Lepisosteus oculatus: one gene and its partner. The protein of the gene in region 1 interacts with the protein of each later gene in a pairwise test. Links are inferred from orthologs where the notes say so. Each region holds a gene or a part of one and is shown on either strand. Other genes may lie near its edges.

Region 1 (6,932 bases):
CCGTGTGTCGCGGCAGGAATGCTGTCCGTCCTGCGGTCCTGGCTGCCCGCTCTCCCCGGCGTGTCGTGGCTGTCGCCCGGCACCGCCACGCTAGACTCGCTGCTGCAGGGTAAGAGCCCGCCCCCCCGGGGTCCGGCCGCCGCTCACTTCCGCCTGGCCCGCGACCCACCGGCGTGTCTGTTTCCCGACAGGGCTGGTGGGCGCGTGCGGGATCTCGGTGCTGTGTAACCTGCTGCGCGTGCACGCGTTCATCAAAGGCTTCAGGTGAGTCGCCTGTCCAGAGCTGGACGCGCCTGCAGTGACCCCTGGAAGGGTCATCGCGTCTGAAGGGCCACATCGTCATCGGCTTGACCAGAGTGTGAGACTGTCCAGGGTGTGGTGCTCCAGTGTACTGAGAGCTGGACCGGAGAATCAGCAGTACTGTAAACACTGAGAGTTATTCAAGTAGCACTGCAGTGACACTGCTGTGTGCGGGGTGACAGTGTGTCTGTAGTTCACTGCAGTAGCTCTTCTCTGTGTGCAGGGTGACAGTGTGTCTGTAGTTCACTGCAGTGACACTGCTGTGTGCGGGGTGACAGTGTGTCTGTAGTTCACTGCAGTAGCTCTGCTCTGTGTGCGGGGTGACAGTGTGTCTGTAGTTCACTGCAGTGACACTGCTGTGTGCGGGGTGACAGTGTGTCTGTAGTTCACTGCAGTAGCTCTGCTCTGTGTGCGGGGTGACAGTGTGTCTGTAGTTCACTGCAGTAGCTCTCTGCTCTGTGTGCGGGGTGACAGTGTGTCTGTAGTTCACTGCAGTGACTCTGCTCTGTGTGCAGGGTGACTGTGTGTCTAGTTCACTGCAGTAACTCTGCTCTGTGTGCGGGGTGACAGTGTGTCTGTAGTTCACTGCAGTAGCTCTGCTCTGTGTGCAGGGTGACAGTGTGTCTGTAGTTCACTGCAGTAGCTCTCTGCTCTGTGTGCAGGGTGACAGTGTGTCTGTAGTTCACTGCAGTTGCTCTCTGCTCTGTGTGCAGGGTGACAGTGTGTCTGTAGTTCACTGCAGTAGCTCTCTGCTCTGTGTGCAGGGTGACAGTGTGTCAGTAGTTCACTGCAGTAACTCTGCTCTGTGTGCAGAGTGACAGTGTGTCTAGTTCACTGCAGTGACTCTGCTCTGTGTGCAGAGTGACAGTGTGTCTGTAGTTCACTGCAGTGACTCTGCTCTTTGTGCAGGGTGACAGTGTGTCTGTAGTTCACTGCAGTAACTCTGCTCTGTGTGCAGAGTGACAGTGTGTCTGTAGTTCACTGCAGTAGCTCTCTGCTCTGTGTGCAGAGTGACAGTGTGTCTGTAGTTCACTGCAGTGACTCTGCTCTGTGTGCAGGGTGACAGTGTGTCTGTAGTTCACTGCAGTAGCTCTCTGCTCTGTGTGCAGGGTGACAGTGTGTCTGTAGTTCACTGCAGTAGCTCTCTGCTCTGTGTGCAGGGTGACAGTGTGTCTGTAGTTCACTGCAGTAGCTCTCTGCTCTGTGTGCAGGGTGACAGTGTCTGTAGTTCACTGCAGTAGCTCTCTGCTCTGTGTGCAGGGTGACAGTGTGTCTGTAGTTCACTGCAGTAGCTCTCTGCTCTGTGTGCAGGGTGACAGTGTGTCTGCAGGATCACTCAGTCCTGCAGTAACCTGCTGCTGTTGCCAGAGCCCTGCAGCTGGTAAAACCTGGACTGGATCAGACTGCTCTTCACTGGGAGTCTCTGTGCTTTTGCAGTGACCCGGGCCGGGCCAGTGGAGACCGGGTGCAGTTGCACAGGAGAGGCGGGTTTATGGAGGCGGTCCAGCTGTGGGTTTTGACGGCGGTGCTGGGAGTGGTGGGTTCCAGGGTCGCTGCGCTGGTGGTGCTGGAGTTCTCACTGCGGGCCGTTTCTGCAAGACTGATGGCAGTGCCGGTGAGCCACACACACTGAACACTGGTCCTCTGAGACTGACACTGAACACTGGTCCGCTGAGACTGACCGGTGAGACTGACACTGAACGCTGACACTGAACTCTGGCCTGCTGAACACAGGCACTCTGAACACTGACGAGCTAAACAGTGACACCAAACACTGGCACAATGCTTGACGCTCTGCTGTATGCAAAGCAGCTGATTGAATTCAGTCTAATAAAGAGCAGAACTGTAAGACTCATTGCAGTGCCACCTCTCTGCCTGCAGGAGGCCCTCCACAGCAGCCAGCTACTGGTGCAGTGCCAGTTCTCCCTGGGCTGTGCGCTGACCTGCAGCCTCAGCTTCCTCCAGGAGGGGGCGCCGCAGAGCACCCTGAGCCTGGCGCTGAGCGCAGGGCTGGCAGGGCTGCTGTGCTGGCACACGAGGTCGCTGTGGGGGCACGTGGGCACGATGTACAAGCTGCACAGCTCCCAGCGGTACTGCGGGGTGTGCGTCGCGCTTCTGACCTGGTCCCACGCCATCCCGGGCCTGCTGCGCCGCGCCCTCGCCCTGGCCTTCCTGGTGGCGGCCGTTGCCGCCTTGTCCCTGATCAACCGCGACTTCCTGTCCGCGGCCGACGCCCTGAGGTTCTGGACTCCCCTGACGATCTGCTACACCTTGCTGGTCATCTACATGCAAGGTGAGGGGGGGGGCGGCCGGGGGGGGGGTGTGCGCTTCTGGGTCTTTTACTGACCGTCTCTCCCCTCCCCCTCAGAGGAGCAGCAGCACCGCCCTGGTGGCCAGGCTGTGTTCCAGACCGTGGTGGTGCGACTCGGGGGGCTGCTGGTCCTGATGCTGACGGTCGGTCGCTGGGGCGACGTGCTGCACATCCTGGTGTGCTTCCTGGGGGAGGGGTGCTGCCTGCTGCGGGCCTGGGACCTGCTGACAGCCCACCAGACACAGGTCCGCCCCCCCGCACCCCTGTTCCCTGAGCTCCCCCTCCCCGGCCTCCCGGCTCACACTCCCCCCGGGCAGGACCGCAGGCTCCGGCCTGGCGCGGCGCAAGGGCGCATCGTCACCAGCGGTATGGCGGCGGGAGGTTCACCCCCTGTTTCTGTCTGCAGGAGGCTGAGCTCGGCCCCACCAGGGGCTCCCCAGGGCCCAGGAAGGAGGGCGTCTGCTTGAGAGGCTGTCCTGAGGTCGCCCAGGCCAGCAGAAAAGATAAGGACCTGTAGCGGCCCTGAGGAGACTGCCTGAGCTGAGCCCTGCTGGCTCCCAGTCTACCAACATTGAGCACACCCGCTGGGACCAAGAGACTTGAGCCTTTAGGCGGAGACTTTTCTATCTTGTTTAATTCATGTACTTAAACTTTATACACCTTCACGCCAGCAGAAAGCACTGTTGCAGCAGGGAGAGAAGGGAGAGGAGAGGGAGGGAAAAAGATAGAGAAAGTCATACATTGAGATAACTGGAGATGGAGTAAAGGAACGAAGACTGCCCCCTGCTGGCTGAACGGCATACAGGCAGTGTGCTGGTTTTTTACAGTGCAGTAGCAAGAGCTGCCACCAGAGGTCCAGATCGACATTTTCTCTGGACCTTGAGACCGCTGCTCACAAGCCAGCACATCCAGTATTTTACACTTCAGATCAATCCTCCTCAAATTATTTCAGTTTAAATTGTGTACATATTATTTGGACAATGATCAGGGTGCTGTTGCTTTTGTTGGTGTGTCAGTCTGGCATCTGTCTGTAAGTCGGTCAGAGTCAGATTGGCTCTCTCTTCGTCTCCCTCTCTTCCTCGGTGTCTGTCTGTGTGCGTCTTACTGTCCCCTAACTCCCCACTGACTGTCTGTTCTCACAGTGTTCCCACTGTTCCAGGACTGTTTTCACCCTGCATGGAGTTTGGTGTAATAAATAATATGAGAATGAAAGTTAGAGGGAAGCTGCCCACAGATACAGAAATACAAATGTGAGCGTGTGTGTGCGTGTGTGTGCGTGCGTGTGTGTGCGTGTGTGTATGTGTGTGTATGTGTGTATGTGTGTTTGCACAGACTCTTTTGCAAGAGCTCTGCCCTCTGAGCCCTTATCACCCCTGCCCTGTTCTTTGCTGATTGTATCTGTAGGGAGTCACTTCTGTTGTTTTTCAAAGGTGGAGATAAATTCCTTTGTTGCATGTGGCAGTTAAAATGAATAATTACTGCTGCTGTCTCTAAAGACACTGTCCCTGCCTCTAGAGACACCATCACTGCTGCTGTCTCTAGAGACACTGTCCCTGCCTCTAGAGACACTGTCACTGCTGCTGTCTCTAGAGACATTGTCCCTGCCTCTAGCGAATATTTGGTTTGGAAGTAGTGGGGCTGATGGGGATGGTGCTCAGGTCCTGCACTCTCACACGGTTGTTCTGAGAGAGGTGTGAGCACTCTCACTGACCAGGCGCTCGTCAGACCCTGCGGACTCGCAGGCCTGGCTCATGCTGATGGACCACAGTGTGATATACTGACAGCTTGCAGCCTGGGACAGAGGGGGTGTCACTGTGACCCCAGGAGCAGGAGGTCTGCGAAGTTTGCCGAATCTGCGCAGCTCTGCTGAGTTGGTGCAGTTTGTCTGCGCAGCCCGGCAAAGATGTAAACGCACCAGTGGGACCTGAAGTGAGTCCAGTGCGAGGAGAGAGCTCACCAGCCCAGCGATTCACCTGGTTTCAGACAGGAGCCCAGAGCTGTCTGCTGCCCTCCTAGAGCCTTGCTGTTTACACACTTTCCCAGCTGTGTGTGTGCGAGAGAGTGTGTGAGTTTCACTCAGTGTCCAGAAAGGACTCGGAAAGTCTCAGTGTTCCCCTCTGCTCTGGGCCGGGTCAGGCGCTGTCCTGCTGGGGCGGCTGGTTCAGTGGAGCAGTTGGAGGTCCGAACAAAACTCTGAAAGTCCCAAATGTAGAAGTGAAACTAGAGGTTTCTCTGTGCCGGAGAGAAGCTGCCTGGGAGTGTGGCTCCAGCTCAGCCGGGTGGGAGTTCCAGGCAGCGGAAGTCTGGGGGGGGGGCATGGGGCCCCCAGGGCATGACTGACAGCAGGACAGCGGGGTGGGCGGGGCTGACCTCTCGACCCTGTGGGCAGGAGGAGGGGCTGGCAGGGGTCTGGGTGATGTCATCACGGACAAGCCCCAGCAGCCCTGAACATTCCTCAGAGCCTGACTCCTGCCTCCACACCCCTCCCCCTCTCCCGCTCTGTCCCAGGCGTCTCCCTGCTCCTGCTCCTGTTTTCCCGGCTCCACACTCCCCTCCCTCTTTCTTTATGAACACCTCTTCTCAGTCCCTGTGCCAGAGTCATCGTGTGCTGTTAATCCGTGACGTTTAGGCCTTGTGCACGCTGCACACACTCCCAGCCTCGTCTGCGTGTCACAGATTCGCCGAACAGCTGGGTGTACGCGCTGCACACACTGAACACCAGATGTGGATATACTGCATAAACACACTGAACACCAGGTCTCCATATACTTAATACATTTGCAGACTAAGCACCAGGTGTGTTTATGAACTGTACACTGAACGCCAGGTGTTCACAGGCTGTGTACCATATAGACACTCTGAACACCTGGTACGCTGTTGATTGGCGTATACCTGCTGCACCCTGGGGTGTCCTGTTCAGGTCTGGGGCCAGCAGCAGCTCCAGCTGGGAGGCAGGGAGAGGAGAGTCTGGGAGAAGGGGGGCGGGGGCTGTCCGTGGGCAGGTATCTACTCACATCCTGCTCCCCCGCAGGAGGAGGAGACAGAAAGAGAAAGAGAAAGAGGGAGGGAAGCAGTGGGGGTGAGGCTGTGCGTCAGTTTCGTGGAGCTCAGGCTCTGACTCAAGAACTGTTCACCTTTTCCGGCCGGAGCCGGAGCCGCAGAGGGGGAGGGAGGGCTGGAGGAAAGGGAGTGGCCTGACGGAGCTGCTCTCCAGGTCCTGGGACAGAGACCCGCCGTGCCGACACCCTGCCAGGACCGGGAGCACAGACACTGCGCGGGACCCCAGTCTGCCCAGCACAGACGCACAGCGAGAGCCAGGCTCATCTGCAGGCTCCCCCTGACGGCCCTGATAGCCTGGAGCTTCACTGCACAGTGCAGCCAAGACACTTCTCTGTCATCTGGAGCAAACTGAGGGGCTCATTACTGTAGACCCCTGGGGTACAGGTTAGTGCTGGATTCCCTGTCTTGCAGGGAGAACTGCTGTCTCTGTATCCCTTTGTCTCTGTGTCTCTGTATCCCAGTGTTTCTGTGTCCCCGTATCCCTGTATCCCCATAGCCCTGTGTCTCTGTATCCCTTTGTCTCTGTGTCTCTGTATCCCAGTGTTTCTGTGTCTCCGTATCCCTGTATCCGCATATCCCTGTGTCTCTGTGTCTCTGTATCCCTTTGCCTCTGTGTCTCCGTATCCCTGTATCCCCATATCCCTGTGTCTCTGGGTCTCTATCCCCATATCCCTGTGTCTCTGTATCCCTTTGTCTCTGTGTCTGTTATCTGTGTGTCTGGGTTACTGGTCTCTGTGTCTGAATAAATAAAGTATTCTATCATTGTTTCTGAACTCTGGCTATGCTATGATTACTAGACTCCCTTGTCTCCCATGAATGAAGCTACTCAGGAAACATGCTGTGTCGGCAGCACCTCTCCACCTTCTCAATAACCGATCACACCTGAAGAAGGCTCTACAGCCGAAACATTGTGTTTCCTTTCTTTTCTTTTCAGCAGGGAATAAAACCCGTTACCCGTTCCTTTGTAGCCTGTGCATGCTGACGGATCTCCCTACTTGATCTATGTGTAAATAATGTTGATCAGCTATCAATAATGCTGTGGTCAGTAGTTTCCTGTTCAGATAGGGCTACAAACTTGTTGCTCCCAACACAAGAAAGTACAAGGAGGGCTAGTTAGTGTGGGACAATTTTAATCTTTTTTGCAAAATGACTTCAATGATTCATGAACTGTTCACAGAACTACAGTGCTGCTCAGACCTCTCCTCCCAGTGTGGATCTGTGTCTATGGTAAGTGTGTTCCAGGGGTGAGCTGGCATCTGGC
Region 2 (7,833 bases), on another chromosome or scaffold:
GTCACAGCACTCGCTGAGGGGCAGAGAGGGGTAAATACAGGGGTACAGGGGTATATACCCTGTCACAGCACTCGCTGAGGGGCAGAGAGGGGTAAATACAGGGGGTAGACACCCTGTCACAGCACTCGCTGAGGGGCAGAGAGGGGTCACCGCAGTCGCCATGGGGACCGGAAGAGCCGGGTCCCTTACAAAACACCCATCATGCCGACGCTCCCATCTGGCTTCAGAGAGAACGCAAACACAGCAAGTTCACAGGGCACCACGCCCGTCACGACGGGCGCTGACTGCAACACGCCCTGCGGCCTTTCTCCTCGGTTAAGGAGCAGACATTCAGCTCCACCGAGCAGGACGAGGAGTGGTGTTCTTAAGGGGACCTATAATTTCCGTCACGGAACCAGAGTAAAACCTGTACTGCACCCTCCTCCGGGCTCCAAAACCCCACGTGGCTTCTGCATGTTCTCTGGGGGGGGGGGGGAGAGTTCTGAACGACCGACTGACGTGCAGAAAGAAAGGGAGGGGTCAAGAGAGGGGGTACTCACACGTCGACGGGGTCGGCCACCTCCATGTATCTCATCTTCATGAGGCGGGGGAAGTCCATCTCCTCCTTCACCTCCCAGTCGCTGCGGACCTCCACCGAGGAGTCACGGGGCTTCAGCTGTGCCTGCCGGAGCAGGGCAGCCTGAGCGCACATTCACCCAGAGAGGCCTCCACGCTCAGGCAAAAAACGAACCGGAAACACTCGGGATCGCTCTCAAGCGCAGCGGTCCCTTGCACCAGACTGATGGCAACCCCCCGTCTTAATCATTCCGTGGGCATCAAATACTACCCGGGATTGAAAAGACTACAACATCAAGAAGCTGTAAAAGAGAACTGGCAACCCCCCAGTGCACCCAAGCAACTTGCGGCAACTTATTTCAACTCTTAAAGCTCCGTTTCGCGTTCGCTTGGAAATAGCCTTGACAACTAACCTGCCGCATACGGTCGTAAAAGAAATGACCCTGCATGGGCGCACAATGTAATTCTATCAAGGCACGAGCCATTACAGGCCAAGCAGGGGGCGTCGGCTCTCGTGACGTCCCAAGGCCACAGCTGCAGAGGCAGATGGGAATCCCGCTGCAGGTCTGTCCAGGAGCTCCCCTTACCTGTGATTTCTGGTCCCATTTCTGCCGCACGCCGAACTGCTTCTGAAACTTCTTCTGCAGCCGCATGCGGTCCCTGACAAGGGGGGAGGGGGGTTACACAAGAGAGTCAGCTCTGGGCCCAGAACCCCCGGAGCCCCCCTGTAAATAACCTCATGACCATACCGGGCGCTGTCCTTCTGCTGAAGCCCAACACCCCCAATCCCGCCCCCCCCTTTCCCAAAAAACGCTCTTCCCTTTTCAAACCCGAAGGGGCACGCTCACCGAGGGTCCCGCCCCACCGTGCAACGCGGACGCTTAGAGGAGACGCAGGTTCCGAACCCTGCTCCCTGCCGAGCTCTGCACAGAAGAAATTGTCCAGAGGCCGCAGGAGCAGCTGTGGAGTCGTGGGGTTGCCCAGGGACTTGGCCTTCTGAACCGTCACGAAGGCTGAAAGCCATCAAGCAGCGCATGTCTGAGGCACCGTGCATCTGGCAAACCTTCCAGAAGGGCTGTCCAGTGCCAGTGGTGGCACAAGGCTCAATTTTAGCACTCGCATTTAGCAATATCCGTTTACAAGGGCCAATACCGCACTACTCCTCTCGCTGCACTGCAAATGGACTTGCAGCTGCTTGCAAGGGTAACCGTCTGCAGAAACCCTGCGGGGTTCAGCGTTTCGAACACCACCCCCTCCCTCCCCTGTCTCCAGCCAGCTCGGTCTCCTCTCACCTCTCCTTCTGCTTGGCGCTCTTGGGCAGGGTCTGCATGTTGAACTGCATCATGTTCCTGCGGTCCTTGTCACGGCGGAGATTCCTCTGCAACACAGACAGGCACAGACTGCATTAGGGACAGGAGCTCTGATCCTCAGGGACGGACAAGACAGGCACAGACTGCATTAGGGACAGGAGCTCTGATCCTCAGGGACGGACAGACAGACAGGCACAGACTGCATTAGGGACAAGACCACAGATTCTCAGAGACAGAAGCACAAGCTGTGAAAAAGCCAGACTGAAGTTTAAGGCCGACTTCAATCCTCTTTGACCAGAGGATGTTACTGAGTGACTCTCAAAGTTAGGGCGAGCCGCCTGCTCTGTACCCACCACGTGGAGCTTCTTCTCTGCTTGGCTTGTCTCAAAAGACGCTCCACGACAAAAAACACGATAACGGATACAAACGGAACAAGCATCTGCTTCCTGTACCGTCACCTCTTCCAGAGACGGACGCAGTCTGAAAGTTGTACTGAGCTACCCAGAGCCCCTCCGTTCCTGCACGCCCGGCAGAGACAGACAGACACACGGGGCCGGCCCCTCGTACCTGCGCGAACCTCATGCGGTTCCTCTGGTAGGCCGTCTTCTGCGTCTTGGCCGTGTCCACCAGCTGGAAGCTGGTCTCGTCCTCCTCGTGGAAGTAGGCGTACTGGCTGCCGCCGCCAAACTGCGACGAGTACTTATCTGGGACACGAGAAGACATGCGCTTCAGTATCCAACTCCGCTAGCCCGCTGCACTCGGGGGAAGCCGGGGAAACAAAAACACCACCAGACTCCCAGCTGCTCAGCATTCTTCATCCGTTTGAGGCTCCGCAGGCCGCAAACCCCCGTACTGTTTTCACTGCTGGAAGCCATGTCTGCGGCCGAGACGACCTCAAACTCCAGGACGCCCAGCAGGCCGAACCCGAAACAGCCCAGACTGCTCTGCTGTGGGAGTCCCGTCCTCCTCCCCACACTTCCAAAGTGAATCCACAATGGAAAAAAAAGATGCCAACGCTGGACAAGAAACTGAGTATTCCAGGTCCAGGTAACTCATTACAGATTCAATAAGTAACAATTAATATGTTGCTTTCAATATACGTAAACAAAGTGGCTCCAATGCATGCCCCTGCATCAGGTGCTCAAAGCTACCGACAGTAGACCGCAAACCCACTAAATAACTTCTCACACCTGAAGAAGGCTCCACGGCCGAAACGTTGTGTTTTCTTTCTTTTCAGCAGGGAATAAACCTCTTACTTGTTCCACTAAATACCTTCACACTACAGTCGCACCACTCACTTGTGTATCTTTTGTCTTGGTATGTCGCTCCTGTCCAGTCGGCGACCTGAAACACAGAGGAGGATGAGAGGGTGCAAGCCACACGCCTGCTCCCGGACCCTAAAACCAGGACGACAAGGGGAAAGTCGGGGCGTCCGCGGCGGCGCTCACCTTGCCCAGGCGGTCCCCCTTGCTGAAGGGCTGGTAGGGCATGTCCTTGAACTGGTCCGGCACTGCGCACGGACCCCACCCGCTCGGGTTATCCTGGATCACCGGGGCGTGGAACTTCGCCATGATCCCTGGAAAAGGGGGGGTGGGGAGAGAGAGAGAGGAGGCACCTACAGTCACGGCTCGGTGGGCTGCAGCTTGCACGCAAGATTCACCAGGCCACCCAGCACAGAAACACAGCTCGGGTAAGCAGACGCACAAGGGGGGAAAAAAAACACTCGATTGTGTGATCTCGGTATTACCCAGTTTAGGAGAAACCACAACACACCCACACCCACCCCCCACGGCCAGGCGCCAGGTCTCAGACTCTGTACAGCACTGTTTTCATCACTGGTCTCCAGGGACACTGTCAACCTGTCGGCTTGCGCAGTGGACTAGTCATCACCGACCTGACACCTGCAGTCGGCCCGATCGGGGACACGACGAGCTCAATGCGGCGATTCGGGGCTCAGGCAGGAGGAGACCGGGAATCCCCCCCGTCCCTCCAGGACTGCAGCTGCGCCCCCCTGCTTCATCTGGGACTTCAGCCCCATGACTGAGATGCCAAGAGACGGGGCAAGAAGACGAGCCAACACCCCCTCTCGGGTAGTAAAGTGTGAGGGTGTGAGCCTTCTTCAGCCTTCACACACCTGAAGAAGGCTCCACGGCCGAAATGTTGTGTTTTCTTTCTTCTTCTTTTTTTCCCCAACATGGAATAAACCCCATTAACTATTTCCCCACAGGCGAGGTGAATTACACGCCTCCCCAGTGGCGCTCGTAAACGCCAACAGGTCTGCCAGCAGGTACGACGCTGGCCGTGCCTAATGAATGGCGTGTTGTTTTTCCCTGCAGAACAGCTCGATTCCTGGTCTTCCCAGAAACACAAGACCTCAGCTGTTTCCGGCAGCGGCCTCGTCGACGGTGCCTGCTCCAATTCCTTTACAGCTCCTTTCTTTCTAACGTTAATAACGTCGCAGATCCAAACACCGGTCTGGCGGGGATTGCTGACAAGCGGACACTCCTGTTGCAAGCCTCTCCAACCGGCCCTGCTCCCCCAGGCGCGACCCGGCCAGTTTCCTGCCCGTGCGGAAAGCAGGGGACCCGCTGGATTTAAACCGCTACCCCACCTCAGACTGGACTGAGAGCCAAGAGCCCCTCGTATTCAATAACTGCAGGACGCCACACTTAACTATAGTTAGTACTGACACTGAATTCTTGCACAGACTTCCTGGGTGCGCTACCGCCCCTAGTTAATCTACATCGGCTCAATCCAACAGCGTTATTTGTATGAAGAACAACATCCATACCTTCAATACAGGCACCGACAAACGGGAAAACTCCCCTGTAACAGTTATTGGGGTTATTTACCTCCGTCTCGGTCTTTAACTCTTGGATGGTCTTGAGATTTTAGTCCCCGGTATCTCACAATTCAACACGAAGCTGTGGCGAAACGCCGGCGGAAGACAAGGGCCGTAAAGCGGATCGTACTTCCTGTCGTGGCCGGAAGCTGCTGCTGTCGAACCGACCAACTCCTTTACGACAGTTTCATGTATGTTATCGTACCGAAATATTGATGCAAGTAACGGATAAAAACATTCTTATTCTAGTGCCAAATGTAATCTTACAAAAATGTTTTTTTAAAACTCATTAAAGTTTCAGTATTTTGTTCAATGATTTCTTCTATTTTTTCCATGCACCTGTCTTTTATCAGTATTCAATATCAATATTCAATATCAGTATTTCTCGGGGAAATAACCAGTATTCTTTGGACATGGTGCTGAATACTAATCCCCAGTGACCACTTTTACCCTTAAAATTTGTCACAGATGCCTCCTTTTACGCTTTGTACGTAGTGGTTTAATGCTAAGTTAAGAATAAAACGCATCTAATCCTAAAACTAAAATTCAGTCATTGAGGACTAGAAATAAATAAAGCATAAAGCACTTGGGGGGCAAAATAAGAGGTTATTCACCAATGAATTGTAATAAACGTGCTTTCCTTTCTCTCACAAATATTCTACAAAGCCTTTACCTAAAGGCGGGGAAGAAATGTATAAAGTAGTAATTATTCATCGTTATTTCGAAATCAGTGGGATTCTTGTGACGAAGAACCGTTTTCAGCGACAAGGGAATGTTGTTGTTTTTTTTACTTTTAGTGCGCTTCTTGTTAAATAAAGTCAAAAGACACGAGATATATAGACCGCCGCTGGGCTGTCGGTCTTATCAGCGATGAGAGCTGAGGCGCCGCGACAGAACGTTTTGCTTTGCGGCACCCGTAGCAGAGTCGTGCAGGACCGGACTCCAGCAGGTAGAGGCAGCGCTCAGGACCCAGTCCAGAAACACGCTTTCAAGGGGTGGGGGGACGTACTTTTTCGGATGCAATTCCTAGTGTCTGCGCAGAATAAGCAGCGCTGGTCAGTGTTTAAAAAAAAAACTCGGCGCCAGAAGTAAATTAAAGGGGCTTCTGTAGATTTATGGTTGGCAGTACTTGCTTTAAGGCAAAGTCTTATCCCCGTGCTACTGCTCGGTAGCTGTTCTACCGCCTACATTGAGCGTGTGCTTTAAAAACATTGTTTTTTTTAAATCAGGCGGTAGTTTTATACGCAATTTAAAGAACGTCAAAAATAACGGCGGCAGTGAAGGAATGAAACGTTTATATAAACTAAGTTGCGTGTTGTTCTGTGGGTATTGTAGGTAATAGTTAAGCTCGCAGCACGCCAAACTACTGTACTGTAAATCTGACTTCTCTAGTTACAGACGCCAGAGCGAAGCTGGGACTGGCGCAGATTGCTCTATATGGGAGTCTTAACTGGTTTTGTCTGTCCGGCGCTGAGCTTGGTCTGGCTCAGGTTGCTCTGTAACTGGTCCGGTCTCTCCTGGGCAGGTGATGTTATTCGGACTCCGAGTTCTGGACGGATTGCAGAGCGGGTCAGCGGTCAGAAACACCTGTGCAGTGAGTATCCGAGAAGAGAACTAAATCCCCGCTCTCCCTTGTCAGCAAGCACTGTCTCTCCTGCGTGGCAGACCCTGGCGATGTCTGTCTGGATACTCAATCAGTAGACTGTGCCTGCTCTGGCACTCCTGGGCCTGTTGTATTTAGTTTTTATAGGTACAGGTCTTTAAACAGGTGTAGGAAGAGGTGTTCTTTCCACAGGTCTTTACACAGGTGTAGGAAGAGGTGTGTTCTGACACGCAGTGCAGTCTGTAAGTATTTGGACACAGACAACATTTGTTGTTTTGGCTCTGCACTCCAGCACACTGGATTTGAAATGAAACAAGGACTATGAGATTGAAGTGCAGAATGTCATCTTGAATTTGTCTGTATTGGGTGGACCGTATAGGAATCACAGCCCTTTTTATACAAAGTCCCCCCATGTCAGGGGACCAGAAGTAATTTAGGTATATAAATCGGTATAGGAAGAGGTATTCTTTCCATAGGTGTTTAAATAGGTATAGGAAAAAGTGCTCTTTATATGGGTATTTGAAGAACATACTGTACATGGGGTAGTGTCTTCTGTAAATACACATTTTAATGGGTATAGCAAAATGTGTTCTTTAAATGGGTATAGGGCAATGTGTTGCTTTAAACAGGTGTCTGATTAGGTATAGGGAAAGTCTTCTTTCTCTAGGCGTTGTAAGAGGAGGGGAATTAGCTGCCCGGACTGGCCAGGGGTTTGAGGACTGTGATTCAGAGTAACTTGTGGGCCTGCGTGTTAGTTTGAGGATGTGACCGGTTCTGAAGCTGGTCCTGGTGCTGTCTCTCTGTCGTCTCTGCCCCCAGGCTGTGCTGCTGAGCCTGTCGATGCTCGCGCTGCTGAGGCCTCTGGGACTGCGCACGTTCTCCATGGCGGCCGAATCGTACGTCTCGGGCACGCACTCCGCCGCCTTCGTCACCTGCCCCAACGAGCAGGTGGCCAAGGACCTGGCCAGGTGAGGGGCCGGCCCGCCCTCCCCCTGCGTCGCGTTTGCTAGTGTGACAGAGGAGGGCGCCGCACGTGCGGGGGGGGGGGGGCTGCTCTTTACTCACGCCCTGATAAGAAGGGCAGGGTCGCCACCTCTCTGCCGCAGCCCAGCCTAGAGCATGACGGCACCAAACTTGAGTGGCCTTATCCGAGTCCAGACAGCTGAACATACCCGCCATTGACCACTTTCCATCACAAACCACTGAATCCAACTGTGTCCTTGTATACATGTTTGGAACTGCGTATGAAATTGTAACAGGAATGTACACAAAGAGAGACGGCGATCTTCCCCCGAGCGTATTCAGCGCAGGACCCACCTATTTAACAGGCTCCACTAGTGTGGAGACAGATTGCCATTAATACCGTGGGGAGAGTGTCCGATGTCACCACCCGGGACATTACTAATTCGGCCAGTGCAAAATCTCACCCCATAAGTTCACTGCATCTAATTGATGTTGGAATCGGATTTCTGTGCCCCCCCGCCCCCCCCGGCGGTGAAGCTGCGTGGCGGGAGTGGGGTTGC

What was found. The genes of interacting proteins can lie anywhere in the genome.
Region 2: the proteins of fblim1 (region 1) and protein CutA homolog interact in binary tests that used the Homo sapiens proteins (3 or more experiments, as listed by UniProt). The two-hybrid records come from large-scale screens. The link is inferred for Lepisosteus oculatus from reciprocal best matches to the Homo sapiens genes FBLIM1 and CUTA.

Annotation. Positions count from the first base shown.
Region 1 is NC_090720.1:298,377-305,308, reverse strand, and holds the start of fblim1 (filamin-binding LIM protein 1), read left to right. Parts: upstream 1-3,924; 5' UTR 3,925-6,055; intron 6,056-6,932. Other genes in the region: tmem82 (transmembrane protein 82), read left to right, coding at 19-109, 192-264, 1,738-1,915, 2,182-2,593, 2,669-2,856, 3,018-3,128. UniProt on the Homo sapiens protein: Serves as an anchoring site for cell-ECM adhesion proteins and filamin-containing actin filaments. Is implicated in cell shape modulation (spreading) and motility.
Region 2 is NC_090707.1:37,560,976-37,568,808, forward strand, and holds the start of protein CutA homolog, read left to right. Parts: upstream 1-4,818; 5' UTR 4,819-4,898; intron 4,899-5,571; exon of another isoform or gene 5,572-5,762; intron 5,763-6,232; 5' UTR 6,233-6,235; coding exon 6,236-6,301; intron 6,302-7,129; coding exon 7,130-7,278; intron 7,279-7,833. Other genes in the region: eif3d (eukaryotic translation initiation factor 3 subunit D), read right to left, coding at 540-661, 1,143-1,215, 1,848-1,933, 2,433-2,569, 3,164-3,209, 3,314-3,436. UniProt on the Homo sapiens protein: May form part of a complex of membrane proteins attached to acetylcholinesterase (AChE).